5 linked regions of the Danio rerio genome follow. The protein of the gene in region 5 purifies or fractionates together with the protein of the main gene of each other region. This does not show direct contact. Links are inferred from orthologs where the notes say so. Each region holds a gene or a part of one and is shown on either strand. Other genes may lie near its edges. The genes, in order: atxn7l3a, zzz3, taf10, kat2b and tada3l.

Evidence for each region.
Region 1: the proteins of tada3l (region 5) and atxn7l3a purify together in Homo sapiens (affinity purification with mass spectrometry; 6 studies listed by BioGRID and IntAct, counting the BioPlex papers as one, with this or other methods). This does not show direct contact. The link is inferred for Danio rerio from reciprocal best matches to the Homo sapiens genes TADA3 and ATXN7L3.
Region 2: the proteins of tada3l (region 5) and zzz3 purify together in Homo sapiens (affinity purification with mass spectrometry; 4 studies listed by BioGRID and IntAct, counting the BioPlex papers as one, with this or other methods). This does not show direct contact. The link is inferred for Danio rerio from reciprocal best matches to the Homo sapiens genes TADA3 and ZZZ3.
Region 3: the proteins of tada3l (region 5) and taf10 purify together in Homo sapiens (affinity purification with mass spectrometry; 5 studies listed by BioGRID and IntAct, counting the BioPlex papers as one, with this or other methods). This does not show direct contact. The link is inferred for Danio rerio from reciprocal best matches to the Homo sapiens genes TADA3 and TAF10.
Region 4: the proteins of tada3l (region 5) and kat2b purify together in Homo sapiens (affinity purification with mass spectrometry; 8 studies listed by BioGRID and IntAct, counting the BioPlex papers as one, with this or other methods). This does not show direct contact. The link is inferred for Danio rerio from reciprocal best matches to the Homo sapiens genes TADA3 and KAT2B.

The regions. Positions count from the first base shown.
Region 1 is NC_133178.1:18,805,896-18,808,887, reverse strand, and holds the end of atxn7l3a (ataxin-7-like protein 3), read left to right. Parts: intron 1-680; coding exon 681-817; intron 818-894; coding exon 895-1,115; 3' UTR 1,116-2,484; downstream 2,485-2,992. UniProt on the Homo sapiens protein: Component of the transcription regulatory histone acetylation (HAT) complex SAGA, a multiprotein complex that activates transcription by remodeling chromatin and mediating histone acetylation and deubiquitination.
Region 2 is NC_133177.1:9,166,324-9,169,845, reverse strand, and holds part of zzz3 (ZZ-type zinc finger-containing protein 3), read right to left. Parts: intron 2,662-3,522; coding exon 2,590-2,661; intron 1,557-2,589; coding exon 1,455-1,556; intron 1,203-1,454; coding exon 1,107-1,202; intron 1-1,106.
Region 3 is NC_133183.1:27,712,103-27,716,183, forward strand, and holds the start of taf10 (transcription initiation factor TFIID subunit 10), read right to left. Parts: upstream 2,801-4,081; 5' UTR 2,582-2,800; coding exon 2,464-2,581; intron 1-2,463. UniProt on the Homo sapiens protein: The TFIID basal transcription factor complex plays a major role in the initiation of RNA polymerase II (Pol II)-dependent transcription.
Region 4 is NC_133194.1:23,150,726-23,152,961, reverse strand, and holds the end of kat2b (histone acetyltransferase KAT2B), read right to left. Parts: intron 705-2,236; coding exon 511-704; downstream 1-510. UniProt on the Homo sapiens protein: Functions as a histone acetyltransferase (HAT) to promote transcriptional activation. Has significant histone acetyltransferase activity with core histones (H3 and H4), and also with nucleosome core particles.
Region 5 is NC_133186.1:18,274,999-18,278,967, forward strand, and holds the start of tada3l (transcriptional adapter 3), read left to right. Parts: upstream 1-1,147; 5' UTR 1,148-1,214; exon of another isoform or gene 1,215-1,303; intron 1,304-1,644; 5' UTR 1,645-1,668; coding exon 1,669-1,878; intron 1,879-3,969. Other genes in the region: arpc4l (actin related protein 2/3 complex, subunit 4, like), read right to left, coding at 444-446. UniProt on the Homo sapiens protein: Functions as a component of the PCAF complex. The PCAF complex is capable of efficiently acetylating histones in a nucleosomal context. The PCAF complex could be considered as the human version of the yeast SAGA complex.

The sequences.
Region 1 (2,992 bases), on a different chromosome or scaffold from region 5:
ATGTATCAAAATTCCACTGATTTCCTGATAAATGTTGCATTCTGGGATAATCCAGCGCAGCTCTTTGATAATAAGCTGATCTCTCCTTCCTCAATGCAGTATTGGATGAACACAATATGCAGCCTATTCCTCTTGCTTTTTCTACTTTGGAGAAGACAGGAGAAGGTATCACTGCTTAAACTTACTCCGAAACGTTTTGCGTTTTTTCATAATGGATTAATGAATACGCGTCAGACTGGATATGCAAAAACGCATGCAAAAATGTCAGACTTCAGTGTGCAAAAGACCTTTAGGCTAGTATAAAAAGCTTCTTGTTAATTTGTTAGCTATAAAATAAGACCCTGTCTGTGTTTAAATGACCTCCTCATGCTTTGTGTTATGTCATGAGGAAGCTTGATTCCACCTCTCCTTTTCATCAACTCTGCATGTTTCCATAATCCGCACACTGATGTTGTGGTCTAGTTTCTATTTAAGAAAGCAGCTGTGAGTCAGATTTGAAAGATGTTAATTTCTCAAATTAAAGCGTTTCAACTCATAACATAATTGCTGACAAGAAACCAGGTCAGATCACTGGAAAATGTAGTTTAGGTGTCATACTCCATCTGTCGACTTTTTCCTTGAACTGAGGTGCCAATTCAGCGTTTTTGACGAGAGAGTCATTTCCTGTTTCTGTTTACCAGGTCAACACTACCAGACGCTGACACCATGCTGGAAAACGAGGCCTATGAACCCCCTGATGGCCAGCTCATCATGTCCCGTCTCCATTGGGACGCTTCCTCTGACATCTCCCCATCAGACTCGGCATCTTCAAAAGCCAGTGAGTTTCCTGAAGACTTTTTTTTTTTGTCAAGACGCCACATGTATCTGCTTGTCATGACATGATCTCGTTCTCAGGCACCAATAACTCTGAATCCAAGAGACCGAAGAAGAAGAAGCCCAGCACGCTTTCTCTGACTCCCGCAGGAGAGAGGGATAAAGCACAGGAGCGAGACAGAATAGCAGGCAGCGGGAGCAGCGGTAGCAGCTCCCAGAATGCTCTGGGTCTCTCAAGTCGGAAAAAGCGACCAAAACTTGCAGTTCCTCCAGCACCCAGCATCTATGATGACCTGAACTAAGGCACATGCATCCCACACACACACCCACACCCAATCATGACTGACTTGATGAGGTTTTATCTGGTCTTTAGTTTCCCCCATTTCAGTGCACGTGAACGTGACGTGTGTGTAAAGACTGGGCCCCTTTTCAGACTTCTGCAGGCATGAAGAGATCATTTGTTACAGCACAGTGTTGCACAGTGAGTGATTTAACTGAATATATATATATATATATATTGTGTGAATGGAACTAGCTTTATTTTGATTTTACTATGCAGTTCACTGTCATCTCTTAGGAGATTTGGGTTTACAGTGATGTGTGTGTGAGAGTTGGACAGTTTGTATGTGAATGGGTTGTTGCAAGTATTTTGTCCCTGGTGGCTCATGTAATTCAGTCAGGTGCTTAGTGGTTTTTAAAGGACGTCTCTGCTTCATGTTGTCTTGCTAATCTTTCTGCAACCTGATAGGCTCGGCTATGCTCTTTTAATGCCAAACAATATACTCTCTTTTGCTCTCCCTTAAAGGGACAGTTCACCCCAAAATGAAAATTCTGCAATCATTTACTCACCCTTGTTTAAAGCCTTTTTGAGTTTACACAAGAAGATATTTTGGAAAATGAGAGTATGGAAATCAGTGTTTTCCAGCATTCTTCACAATTTTTGTGTGTGTGTGTTTAAAAGCACATGAGCGTGAGTGAATAATGTGAATTTTCAATTGTGGCTGATCTGTCTCTTTAATGAACTTGGTTAGCGCTACCAGCAGCTTTCTGCCAAATCTGTGCGCACACAATCTTCTGCCTTGTGTGTTTTGGAGTTTGCTGTTCTTGTTTGCTGTCATGGTTAATATATTTTGCCTGTATTTATTTGATCTGCTGTGTGAATGTTGTTTTGTTTTAAATCATGATATGTGTATGCATTTCCTCGCATTATGGACTTAAAATGAGTTTGTTGATCTTCAAAGCACTTACTATTTAACGTTAGATGGTTTTGTATTAAATATAGTTTGTTAAAGTCTAATCAGAAATGCGTATAGCAATTGAAAATGCACTTAAGATGGATCAAATCCAGCCCCTATGGACGCCTTGTCTTTTTTAAAGTGAAAATGTTGTCATTGTTTGATCGTTAGTGAATTTTAGAGTTTGAAATGACTTGAGCTTTTGTGTTTGTTGTGAATGGACAGAATTGGTACAATTCACACTGTCCTTGCTGTGAGTGGATGTTTCGTCTGTGACGCCGAGTTCTTGCTGTCTCTCAATGCACTGTAGTGTCTTTGTAATGGTTGAAGTAAATATTCATTTTGAAGTAATTCACCATTTAATTTCTGAAGTCTGAGGAATGAAAGAGTCATTTGTTTGCTCACATTAAAATATGCTCAACAAGTGTCTTTCAAATATGAGCTATTTTATTCTCAAGCAAAAACAAAGCATTAAAGAGGTGCTAGTTGTCTGTTAAAGCAAACAGAATAGGTAGTTTCCCCTAAAACCATATTCAATTTCTGACAATATTGAGCAAAAAAAAGTGCAACCCATTCAAACAAGAACCAAAGTATCCAATGCTTTGTGGTTCCCACACACGTCTTGATTTATCTACAGTAAATACATTGCATATATACAGATTTTTACACAGGACACCAAATGTGTGGCTGTTATCGCTGTCATGTATTAATGCCTATCAACACAGTGAGTTTTCCCTATAGTCTACTCCAGTCCTGATACTGTTTGAGGGTTGCATGTAAAATCTTTATCAAGTATAAAACTCTTATAACTAGAAGCGGATGTGCTGAACCAGTGCCATGTAAAAGACAAAGGAAATAAATAGATTTCAATGTAACTGGCAAAAGAGAGAGGGAGAGGGGGGAAAAGGACAACTCAATAGTGACTAAGCAGTACATCACATATG
Region 2 (3,522 bases), on a different chromosome or scaffold from region 5:
TTATTCGAATTCTTATATTCACTAAGGTGCCGCTGTTTGGGGTCGATAGTTGCATTACATCATCATCATTAACGTTAGTTAACCTGCAGGCTGCATTTTTCTCACGGGGCTGCGAGAAAATAAATAAAAAGAGCGGCACTACGGCAAAATAATGATTAAAAAAAGTAAAGCTATGGTCAAATAAATAAATAGAAGAAAAAAGTGTGACTGCTGAGAGTGCAAGCAGCTAGGGACACCGGCCCTCGCGGCCAAAAAACAGACCGGCCCACCGGGAATTCTCCCGGTCCTCCCGATTAGCCAATCCGGGCCTGGTTTCAATCGAGCCGAGACCACCTCATTCAGGCGATTCCGGGCTAATTGTTTTGCTGCGGATCAGAGAGCATTTGCTGATTCACATATGCCAAACGAACCGCGCTAACTGGGGAAATGAGACAGGTTCCGAAACAAAAGTCTAGGTGTGAAAGCACCCTAAGATTACAACAGAGAAAATTAAGATTAAAACAGTCCTCTTTTTTTAGTGTATTTTTGGCAGGCACAATGGTGTGATTAATAGTTATTTGTTTATTTCAACAAATAAAGTTGGGAATAATAATTACAATTGCGAGACTTCAATGTTCTTTTTGTCAGGAGCATTTTCACTTTCTCCTGCATTCACAGGCGTGCTTTTGTTGAAAGGTTTAAAATGATAAGGCAGTGGCCCTGCACTGTCATCAAACAGATAATGTGACTGAGGAGAATCTGGTGGAGAGAAATCCTGCACTTTTTTACACAGCTCTTAGATCCGCTGCTCTCCGAGTCACAGTCTATCTCGCCTGTGCGTGTGTTTGAAAATCAGCATGTGCACGTACTGAAACTCCCCTTTTCATGCAAACCCTTCCTCTTTCGCCACTTGACACGCCCACCCAAACAGAGCTGGACCACTTTTTTCAAACTAGAGGTGTAAAAACACCCTGCTGAGACAGGGGGCTTCATGGCTCTTTAAACAGTCACAAACCCTTTGTTGTAGTAAATAATGTGTAAAGATAAATATACAAATTATGTGTACATTACATGACATATAAAGAAAATAATACAAATGTAAAATTAATTTAAAAAAATGATTATACCTTTTTGCTGTACATGCACACATTGGGTGTTCTGCCGGGCACTGGAATTCCAGCCTTTGTCAGTTTTATGAAATACTTCTGCACCCTGCTAGCAACCTGCAGAGAAAAGCAACAAACATTTGACATAAAAAGAGCTGGCCATAAATTCAGTGATGAAGCTTTCTGACCACAGCTTTTATATTTTCAGACTCTTGTCACATTAGCAAAAAAAAAACCCATCTGTAAACAACAGAGCTTCCATTAAATGAGGCTTTGAATTGCATGACTTATTTATTGAGCAGTGAAAATGTGACTAGAAAGAGAAGTCCGTCAATGCTATGAGAGAATGGGCAGGCCCTGAAGACGCACCTGTTTGGCGGTCCTGTTGCCAAGTTCATCTGCGATCTTCTGCCAGCGTTTAGACTCAACCTCCTCTGGTGGGAACTTCAAAAGCAGCTGCTCCAACTTTTTCTACAGGTTTCACATACAAGATGAGATGAGAAAACAGCTACACCAAAGACTAAAATGTACATAATAGCATACGTTCACAAATTTAAATGGACAATTGTTAGGGCTGCACGATATTTGAAAAAATTAGCGATATTTTGTTTTGTTGCGATATAGATTGCCATATAAACAGCATGATTTGGAAAGAATTCATTAATTTAGACTGGGGATTATTCTGGAAGAATATAGGGATTACTACTGAAAACAATAGAAGTGAAATATTTTAAAATCACAGTATTTAGGTACAGAAGTTAAATATTCAAATATAGAATATTCACACTATACACTTACTGGCCATTTTATTAGGTACAGGTGTCCAACTGCTTAACGCAAATTTCTAATCAGCCAATCACATGGCAGCAACTCAAGGCATTTATGCAAGTTGACATGGTCTAGACGATCTGCTGCAATTTAAACCAAGCATCCGAATGGGGAAGATGGGCTGGTCTGCGTATTTCAGAAACTGTTGATCTACTGGGATTTTCATGCACAACCATCTCACGGGTTTACAGAGAATGGTCAGAGGAAAATGGCCAGACTGGTTCCAGCTGATAGAAAGGCAACATTAACTCAAATAACCACTTGTTACGAGTGAGGTATGCAAAAGAGCATCTCTGAACGCAAAACATGTCGAACCTTGAGGCGAATGGGCTACAGCAGCAAAAGATCACACTGATTCCCAACTTTCTTCCCAGAAAAAGTGTGAGTTTGAACTGTTGTTACTCCATTTTCTGTGCAAACTCAAAACATTGGCAAAAAAACACAGTTTTACACAGAATCCCCACTGCCAACTACTATTTCGGAAGTGTTATTGCAGAGCAACATGGACAGAACGCAGAAGTACAATTGCTCACAAGGATATCAGCAACATGGGGGGGATGCCAATCTCACAATAATAAAGTATAAATTGGACTAACAGTGTTACAACCTGTGCACATTTAATAGTTTGTTTAAATTTGTTTATAGACGTCTCAGAGTTCACAGCTACTAGTACTACCTGCTCCTCGATGGTCCACAGCTGGTTGAAGGTGTCTGGTTTGCTCTGGTTGCACAGCCTTCCTCTGATCATCTAAACAAACATCATCAGTAGGAAAATCAACAAAACAGCATACATGGGCATTGTGGCTACACTACACACACACACACACACACACACACACATATATATATATATATATATATATATATATATTTTGTCTGTCTACAGAACAACCCGTCGTTATACAATAACTTGCCTAATTACCCTAACCTGCCTAGTTAACCTAATTAACCCCATTAAGCCTTTTAACGTCACTTTAAGCTGTATGGAAGTGTCTTGAAAAATATTTAATCAAATATTATTTACTGTCATCATGGCAAAGATAAAATAAATCAGTTATTACAAATGAGTTATTAAAACTATCATGTTTAGAAATGTGTTGAAAAAAAAAATCTTCTCTCCGTTAAACAGAATTTGGGAAAAAAATAAACAGGACGACTAAAAATTCAGGGGGGCTAATAATTCTGACTTCAACTAACCTATTAAAGTTAAATATTAATGGCAATAGAACTTGGGTTGCTCTACAATTATATATTTTTTTAATTATGGCAATAATAAAAATAAAATACTGACCTTTTTTTTTGTTTTTATTTTGCCCACTCAACAATTCACACATTACTGTCTAGCTAGCTTAGTTATCACCAATAAAGCCTAGAAATTGGGAAATAGTTTGAAAAGAAAGACAATTTCAAAAGAGGGCAAATAATTCTGATTCAACTGCGTCAAAAACATAATTTGTTATTTAATTTTAGTTTGTAACTTGTAAATTGTTTTAAATTTAAAATTGTCATATATACATCAGTGTGAAGCCTATGAATGGTGGAACACATATTCTGTAATATTAAAACCACCTGGGTCTCCACTTTTGCATGGTCTCTTTTTTGTTTTAAC
Region 3 (4,081 bases), on a different chromosome or scaffold from region 5:
TGCTTCTGCTCTGTTATGGCAGTTCTTCTCTGATGACGTCAGTTTGACAGATTGGAGCAAAAGATGCTTAGCCACACCTCTTCAACCGTTAAGTTTGCCACAAGTGAAAGATGACAGGAGCACAAAAATAAAACCCGCCCACTGCTCAATATTTCAATTCAGTTGGAAATAGGTCATCACACTGAAATAAAAGTTTGCAACAACTTCCTGTTAATACAGGCATTAAAGTGGGCATTGGCTCTTTGTGATAAATCACAATACCCTTTCTCATTTGACAGTTGCTTTGGACAAAAGTTGGACAACTAAGTGTAAATAATTGAATTTATAATTAAATGTTTGTAGGTAAATGCTAAGCTCTCTGATCAGGGCTGGGTAGTAACTAGGCCCACATGGAATCTGTGTGCGCAGAAATCCACAGATTTCCACAGGGTTTTTTTTTGCCAAATTTATATATTTTATTATATATATATATATATATATATATATATTATTATTATTATTATTATTACATTTATTTCAGTAATATTATTGACCATATGAAAATGTTCATATGATTTATTTACAATACAGTTTGTAAAGTAATATTTCGTCTTTTAGTAGATTTTAGTAGACTTGCTTTGTTTACCAAATAAGTGCATCTAATTATTTAATTAAAAAATTAAATAAGTTAAAATTCCATATATTAAGTATTTAGTTAAGTTGCTTCCAAAATCTTTTTGCATAAATTCACACATTTTTTACTTCTGCGCAGAAACAGCAAAAAATGTCTGCAGATTCTGTCTGGCCGTGGTAATAACACATGATAACTATATTTTACATGATATAATTTTCAAATAAAACAGTAATATGTGACAGGATTACAATATAACAACTAATAGTTTTTTTTAATATGATGCAGCTTAAAGTGGCTTTATGAATTGTGTAAATAAATGCATTAAAACCACAAATTTTGTGAATTGGTCGCTCTTCATTTTCTTTAAGCACAGAGTCTGCCCCAGGAGTTTATGTTGACATTAAAATTTGGTATATTGTGAATTTACTGTTTAATAATGGAAAAGTATTTTAGTGTAAAGTGTAAATAGGAAGTGTAAGTAAACTAATTTTACTCATTTTAAAATAGAAACTATCACTCACATCTTACTATCTTTTTTTAATACTTAGTTTTTATGTATTTTTTTAGAAACATATAACCAGTGGGAACAAAACAAACTATAAAACATATAAACACACATACATAACAAGTATATACGTGTATATACACAAATACATCCATTCCACACAAGTATATCTATATGCATACATATATAAAAAACAGTAAATTAACCTCATCAAGAAAATAAATGAATAAAAAAGTACAAAACAAATATAATAAAAGGTTGACAAACATTCTCGCAATGATGCATAACCTCTAGAATTACGTAAACGTTAAATTATGGATAATTGTATTGCCGTTGTAGAGAAAGCCAGCCATCTCTTTTTCTATTTGTAATCATTTTTTCCATTTCTGTTATTATTTTGAGCGGATCTTCTTCATACCATTTCCAGGTTATAGCTTTTCTTACTTTTTGCCAATAATATTTTAAATAGATATCCAGCCTCCTTTTCAAGTTTAATAGTTATGTCCCCTAGATAAAGTACTTTGAATGATCTAGAAATATGAAGATCAAAAATATAATTAATGGCCGAGAGTAGTTTCTCAAAAACTGTTCATTCTTAAGCACTGCCAGGATATATGTGCATGATGTGCCTCTTCTACCCCCCACAGTTGTCTCACTACCTTTATACCTTAAAAGAAACAAATTTTACTTTCTTAAATCGATTTTTTAAAATAAATTGTCACTATTTGCACCTTGATTTGAAAATGTGATTGGCTTGTTTTTCAGTTGTTGTCTATACTACTATACCCGTTTTATGCTATTGCCCTTGAAAATTCACTGTTGTACTAATTGCAGTAAAAAAGAAAAGCAAGAGCACCCCAAGAAAGAAGACTTGAAGTTGACCATGTAATATTTAGCTGTAGTGAGGAAATGTCATGTAGGCCACATTGCACATTGCGTTTAAAATCACTTGGATTTCTGTGATCAACCCATTCTGTCAAATGTTTGTCTGCATGCCTAGGTGCTTGATTATAATACACCTGAATTCAATGGAGGGGTGTCCCAAAAACGTTGGTTTTTGCTGTAACGTTACCTCAGATCTGTGAAATGTTCATCTCTTTGACATGCGTTTGACAAGTTTTACAATATACGAGAAGTTTAAACGATTAGTTATCTGTTTGCTTCGTACAACTATTATTCAGGAGCAAAAATCTGCATTAAAACGTGAAATAAATAAAGTTGTGACTTTTTTGTGATAATTGGCGATAACAACTAATATAAAAAAAGCGATAAACTGTTATTATTTTCAAGTCACATCGCCCAGTAAAAAATGAGTGTTGTGGAAAAGACACACAGAGACACACACCATTGCTGCTGGCGAGCGCAGGGATGCTGCTGGCGTTTGTGGTGCTGCTGTTCGGGACGCAGTTGCTGCTGCTGGACGCCGCCGCTGCTGCTCCGGTCTGCGTGAGATCCACGTTCATTTTCCCGGCTTAGTTTATGTATTGCAAACGCTAAGCTATACTAGAAAAACACACACAGTTTAAACTAATGTTGGGTTGAGTCGAGCGCTCATTTATGCCGTTTAAACGGCGAAGTATCGGTCGCTCGCTCTGATGATAAAAATATTTACGCTGCAACTGCGTCAGGTGATCAACACTTCCGTGTGCAACCACTATGAAATCCCGCTTGGTGTTGGAAATCGTCAATGGTTCCGGATAAATCCCTTTTAGCTCACATTTATTATTTGTAGTATTGAATTTAAAGCGCAAACTTTGTCATACGTATTTGGCATTCAATATATAATTTGCAGTTCATCCAAAAGGAGAAAGAAGAAACATATTGCGTGTGTAGACCTAGACCGAGGACATTTTGCAACAGCTCCATCTAGTGATGGCGGTGAAGTGGGTTATTTCACACAAAGGAATGTCAGAAAACTTAAATATAGTTATAGTGTTCAAATTACACTTTAAGGTCTCTGTGACTGCAACTAATACACTTAAACCACAAAATAATCTTGTTATTAGCGTATCAATCTTACATGCTGTCATGTTACTCATGTTATCTTAAATAATATTAATAATTAAAATAAAATAGATTATACAAATATAAATTTGACCACCCCTATGGTTAAAGGCATAATCGCGCCAATCAGTCTTTGCAAGACTCATTCAACAGCGTGGATACTGTAGTGTTCGAGACAGTTCTCTTGTAAAATAGGTGTTTGTATAGTTTGAGTTACAGTAACCTCTAAAATAATAAGAGAATATTTAAATGTCTTTAGATGTCATTTAAAAAAAAAGGCTAAATTTGACAGAGTAATTTGCACTCTGAGTATTAGTATTAAATATATTATATATATTATAATAATATTGTAAGTATTATTATAATACTTTAATTAAAATTTGAATATATCATCTTATAGCCTGTCATTTAGAGTTTATTATTTCTAAAAATGGCTATTAAATCTTATGGCATTATTCATTCATTTTCTTTCAGCTTAGTCCCTTTATTCATCAGGGGTCGCCACAGCAAAATGAACCGCCAACTTATCCAGCCTATGTTTTACACAGCGCATGCCCTTCCAGCTGCATTCCAGTAGTGGGAAACATCAATATACCCTCAATCACACACATACACTACGACCAATTAAGTTTATTCAATTCACCTTAACTGCATGTGTTTGGACTGTGTGGGAAACCAGAGCTCTTTTGGAATTAATGAAATTTAAATAAATTCCTTAGAATGCCTGCTTAAATCCAGTCCAAAATAATAAATATTATTCTGAAAGGTTTCTAGAACAAACTTAAGTGTGTTAGATCTTGGAGGGGAAAATGTTATTAATTTCCTAAATGCTTTTTTTGGACACTAATATTAATTAATAGATAATTTAACAAAAGAAAAAAAAAATGTTTGGGTGTGTGAAAACACAAAGGTTTGTTCTCGTATTTTTAAACTCTTTCAAGCCAAAACACACCCTAACA
Region 4 (2,236 bases), on a different chromosome or scaffold from region 5:
TTTATTTTTTCACAATTAAGAGCTATAAACCTGATATAAAATATTTTGTCACAAACCTTTGTGTTTATATGCTCTTATAATTATCAGTTTGATGGCACAGCTTTGACTTTTTTCTCACAATTGCAAGTTTATAGGCTTTCTCACACAATTCTGACTTCATATTTGACATGTATTTAACTTTTTTCTTCAGAAAGGTGATATAAACTGCAAGTTTTGAAGTAGAAACTGCAAGATATGAAGTTGCAATTTTGAGGAAAAAAAAAATTGATTTACAAGATGTTAACTGTTATGTCAAATTCCCAAATATAAAAAAACAAAACTCCAAAAAGAGAGATGTAAACTCACAATTATGGATAAATATTCAAATTTGTGAGATAAAACGTGGCAATTGCATTTGTTTTTATAATTCTGTGGAGGAAACAAGTTTCCATATGGATAAATGGAGTTAAATATGCTAAAAAGAGGTAGAGAAAGAGGGAAACGGACTGCGTGCACGTGCCCTCGGTTAGATTACTTGTCGATGAGGCCTGCCTCCTTGATCTTGGTGTAGAAGAACTTCTCTAGTAGATTGGCACATTTGTAGTACTCGCTTTCAGGAGGGTTGTATTCTCGACAGTTAGTGAAGATCCTCTGCATGTCGGCCATGAACAGCTTCCTCGTGGTGTAGTAACGACTTTTCAGCCGCTCGCTCATCGTCTTCAGGTCTACAACAGGAGACATCCATGATCATTCATGATCAGTTTGGGATTTTATAATGTTTTTCAAAAGAAGCCTGTTCTGCTCACCAAAGGGGCTTTTACTTAATTTAAGTTTTACCTGAGTAAAAACTCAAATTTACTATGAATTACTAATAATTTTTTACTTATTAAATGTAGTTTAAAATGTAGTTAATTTCTGTGATTTAAAGATTAAATTTTAGCTTCATTACGTCAGTGTCACATGATCCATCAAAATTCATTTTAATACACAGTAAAACTTGAAAGTATTACTTCAGCTTGTTACAACTACATGAATTAATCCATTTTCACTTAATTTATTATGGTTTTCAGTAATAATTAAGTTTTAGGTGTAAAAAAGTATATTTTTTTATTTAACTAATAAACCTGTTTTTCAGTGATCTGCAAGGTTATTTTAGCAAACGAGGACTAAATTTACAATTAAAACATTTTTGTTAGCTTGAAAATAAAATGAAAAAAAATTCACAATAAACGATAAACTAAAGGAAACTAACATTGAAACACTAACTCAAATAAAAAAATAATTAGCAAAAACAAATCATTATCTTCAGATTTCGTAAGCACTCATTCTGTTGTGGACAATTTGGAAAAATTACACTTTGTTTATTTAAAATGAGCTGAAACAATCACAATTCTTAAGGTTTTTAGGGGACAACTTAATTGTTTTATGTACAATCCACTTAACTTTGTAAAAGTTAACTGAACTCCTTCATGTTGTCCCAACACAAATCGATTGTGTGAAACCCAGCATTTTTTACAGTGGGACCAGCGACGATTTAGAGAAGAACCTGTTAATGGTGGTTTTACGGTCAAACATGTCAGTCAAGATTCTGAAATGTGCATCCAATGTGTGCTACGCTATCCCATAATGCCCCGCGAGAGAATTCATGAACGGGAGTGAATCGAGGCAACTGACACGGGTAGGTCACGTGATCATGACAAAATGGCTGATGTAGTACGTCCGAGCTCCATTCATACATTCATACTGTATAGAAAGTACTTTTCTAATGGTCAAGAAGTACATTTTAATTAAAATGCAGTACCTACTGAGTAGTAGGCAGCTTTGGATGCAGCCTGGGTATGTTAAACTTTATATAAGGATTGATCTTTCTGAATTCCTAATTTGTAAGGTTTTTGGGTTCAGTGTTTGTTCAAATAATTATTTAATGTTTGGATTTGCACAAGAGTTAATGTAAGCTGTGCAACTATTAACTTTAATTTGGTGGACATTGGATATGTTTTGTTAACGCTGTTAAACTACAATAGGTATATGCCGAAGTATGCTAAAAGACTTTAATTTGTCAGTAACCTAAGTTAAGTGTTTCCTGTGAACTGTATGTCATTGCAAAATCTGCGTGTTTAAGGTCTGTTTTCTTTAAAAACCAGCTATCTTTACTAGCTGAGTGATATCAAATATAAAGTGGGTCTCAATTTTTACAAGAAGCACTGCATTAAATAAAAATTTTTCCCAGCCATGTCATGAACATTTATTTTACTAG
Region 5 (3,969 bases):
TACAGTTGTCTCCATATTATTATTATTCATGAACGTATACTCGTAGTAAATACACAAAAACGTGACTGTCAGTGAGTGGAAGAGCAGTTGTGTGCTTGTCATTACAATGAGCTTCTGATAGTAATTCAGGTTGTCAATAACTATTCTTATAAATACATTTCAACAATCATATCAAATACCACATCAAACAAAACATTTATGTAGCATAAATAGTATTTAATCGAATCCATTTATTATTTTGATTCTGTTAAAGAGGATGCAAAATCCCTGACGTTAGCTAGCTAGCATAAATCAGGACAGAACACTCGATCAAATAAGCCAGAAATCAAAGCTGTTTCTCTATGCAAAATGCTTTACCGAAAAGCTTTTTCATGGGTTATTTAATTGGTTGGGCTATAATCAAAAACAATATTTGCAACTTTCGAGAATCGAAAATCTCTTACCATTTTATATGAGGTCTGTGGAGGAAGACGGAAGTCCGCACGCCACGCCTGGAGATGAGGAATCACGCCTCCATTGCGTCCTCACACTCCCGTAATTTATCTATTGAAAGAGCAATTCAGCTTAATTCTCACAAGCGCGTGGTTTAAATTTACACGAGTGGATGTCAAATTACAAAACATATGTTAATGCAAACTAAAGTTGTCACTATTATAATGTAAGAAAATAATACAGCTACTAAAACAACATAACAGTAATGTTGAAAAATCTTTTTGTTTAATTACGGTAAAGCCCAGCAGCAGTTTTTCCTAGATTCGTTTTTTCTTCCTTATATGGCAAATTACTCGACAGGTCAAATAAATTGTACGTTTATCAAACAGGGTGTAATCTATAAATATTAATGTTCCGAAATAAACATTAGCTCTTTTGTGGCTTTGAACAGTTGATTATTTTTTTGAAAATAAATACAATTTATTTCCATTCAGACGCGCTTTGGTATCGAATGTACCATTCAATGAACTGCGGTGTTGCGTTGTGAATGTCAACTGACAGGAAGCGGTATTTGTCGAATGTCGAATAATAATTTAACTATACAATATTTTAAGAAAACGTGCAACGGCCAAATTGAAGCTCTTATGATATACATTCATGTTTTTAAAATGTAATCAACGAGCTGTATCCCCCCTACTGGCATAATGGTCTAGTCAGTAATGGTTGCCCCTTCATCGGAGGTAAACAATGCTATTTTATGAATCAATTAATGCAGTATAGGAGTTGAGTTTATCGTCCTATTTCGTATTTAATCATATAGTTTAATTGTCAGCACAAGTCTTTTCATTGAAAGCTATACGCAAATATGCTGGTAAATGCTATAACCGGCTGCCTGTGCTTTGAACAGCATGGAGCTAAATTAGCTTGTAGCCGTTAGCCTACATTGGCTGCTCGTTATATCATTTATCATCTTATATGGCAATCACTATTACATAATAGAGTGAAAAATTCAATACATGTAGGATTAGATTTGTTACACACCAAACAGTATAAATAACAACACATCTCTGTTTTGTTTTTCTGTAGCTGTCCACTAGTAACGTTACCACTAGATCAAAACCATTTACAATTTGTGCTGCTCATTAATAACACTAAAAAGACAATTAGAATATACTTTTTTTAACCCTCACTTTGTTTATTATTTCATTACAGATATAGATTTCTGTAAATGCAGAGATGAGTGAACTGAAGGATTGCCCCCCATTAAAGTACTATGACTTCAAACCTGTGGACCATGTGAAAGTGTGTCCACGCTACACTGCAGTGCTCAGCCGCTCAGAGGATGATGGCATTGGCATTGAAGAGCTCGACACGCTTCAGCTGGAGCTGGAAACACTCTTGTCCTCTGCGAGCCGACGTCTCCGAGCACTGGAGGAACAGAGACAGGTGAAAACTGCTGTTTTTACACTTGTCTTTTTCACATCTTGTGCGTACACTAGTTTGGAATCAGTGGGACTTTTCAATGATTTTGACAGAAGTCTCTACTTCTCATCAAAGCTGCATTTATTTATTTATTTTTTTAAAAATAAAATGGAAGAAGAAATACAATTTGTGAGAATGTTTTATTGTAAAACAGGTGTTTTGTAATGTAGAATGTAGTGATTTTTTTCCTGTGATTGAATTAGGGCTGCACAATATATAAATTGGGTGTGTGTATAATCAGAATCAGTATCTTCCGTCCAATTCATATCCGTTTTCAAACAAAAAAGGATACTGAAGAAAAGAAAAGAAAAGAAAAAGACTTTTTTTTTTCATTTGCGAAAAAATGACATTTTGACTTGATTTTTATTTTTTTAATTTACGGTAGAAAAATGGATTAACGACTTCAAAATTCTTTATACACATGTAGGTGGTGCTGAAACGCCCTTTTTCCTCTGATTGGTCAACCAAATCTGAGCTCGTAACGTCGCCCTCAAAATAAGAGCACTCTGTGGATCAGCAGCCAGACTTTTAATTATTGTTATTTAATCATATATATAAACTAAGTTTACATATTCTGTCATTTGATCTGTTAGCAGGCCAACATTCTTTGCGTATGCCTAAATTAAAAAAAAAACATAAATTAGCAGTATTTTTAGACATTTGTCGTTAAAATAAGGCCATAGTTCGCTGACAAACGTCCTGCAGCAGCGCAACTGATGCTGAGCAAAGATAGCCATTTCCAAACAGCACCTAGTTTGCATGATTATTTCCTAACAAGGCCTATATAATAATAATGATGATAATATTAATAATGTTAATAATAATAATATTAATAATAATAATAATAATAATAATAATAATAATAATAATAATATATGCCTTTAGTTCTCCTACCAAACGTCTTGCTGCTGTGCACCTGATGCTGAGCAAAGACAGCCATTTACGAGCAGCACCTGGTTTGCATGATTGTTTCCGTGCTACTGAAGGCCTAAATAACAACAACAATAATAATAATATTTAATATTGTTCACTTACTGTTTTTATTGTTTAGTTTTTTAATAATCATTTATTATTATTATAAAAAAATATATATATATATATATATATATATATATATATATATATATATATATATATATATATATATATATATATATATTTATATATATATATTATTATTATTTTTTTTTCTAGACCTAGCCCATGGCAGGCTACGCTGAATATTTAAAATAAGTGGATTTAAATAAAATACAATAGGATCGGTGGCTGTGCACGAGCAACATCTACAGGTAGCCAACTCATTTAAAATCCGATTTCGGTTTTGATTTTGGCTTCAAACGATTATGAAAAAGCATAAATCTAGATAAATGATTATTGCATCATATACCACCATCTTTCCAGCTGTACACATGTGTTGCTCTTAAAAGCGCGAAAGACCACCTGCTTATGTGTGTGTGCGGCACACACAGTTTGTTTCATATTTCTATTCTATTGTATTTATTTCTTTTTCCTTTACAGGGTGGAAAATAACTGTATATATGTAGTTCAAGTCAGAATTATTAGCCCTCCTATTAGCATCCCTTTTCCTACCCAATTTCTGTTTAATGGAAAGAAGTTGTTTTTACTTATTTCTGAACGTAATAGTTTTGTTATCTCATTTCTATTAACTGATTTCTTTTATCTTTGCTATGACAACAGTACATAATATTTTTCTAGATATTTTTCAAAATACAAGCATTCAGATTAAAGTGTGATTCAAAGGCTTAGATGGGGTAATTAGGCAAGTCATTGTATAACAGTAGTTTCTTCTGCAGAGAATCAAAAAATAGCTTGCTTAAGGGAGCTAATAATATTGACCTTAAAATGGGTTTCAAAATATTTAAACCTGCATTTATTCTAGCTAAAATAAAACAAATGAGCCTAGAGGAAAAAAATATTTTAGAAAACACTGTTAAAATTCCTTGCTCTGTTAAACATCATTTGTGAAATTTTGACTTCAACTGATAATCGTTTTGAATAATCGTGATTACAATTATGAACTAAATAATCGTGACT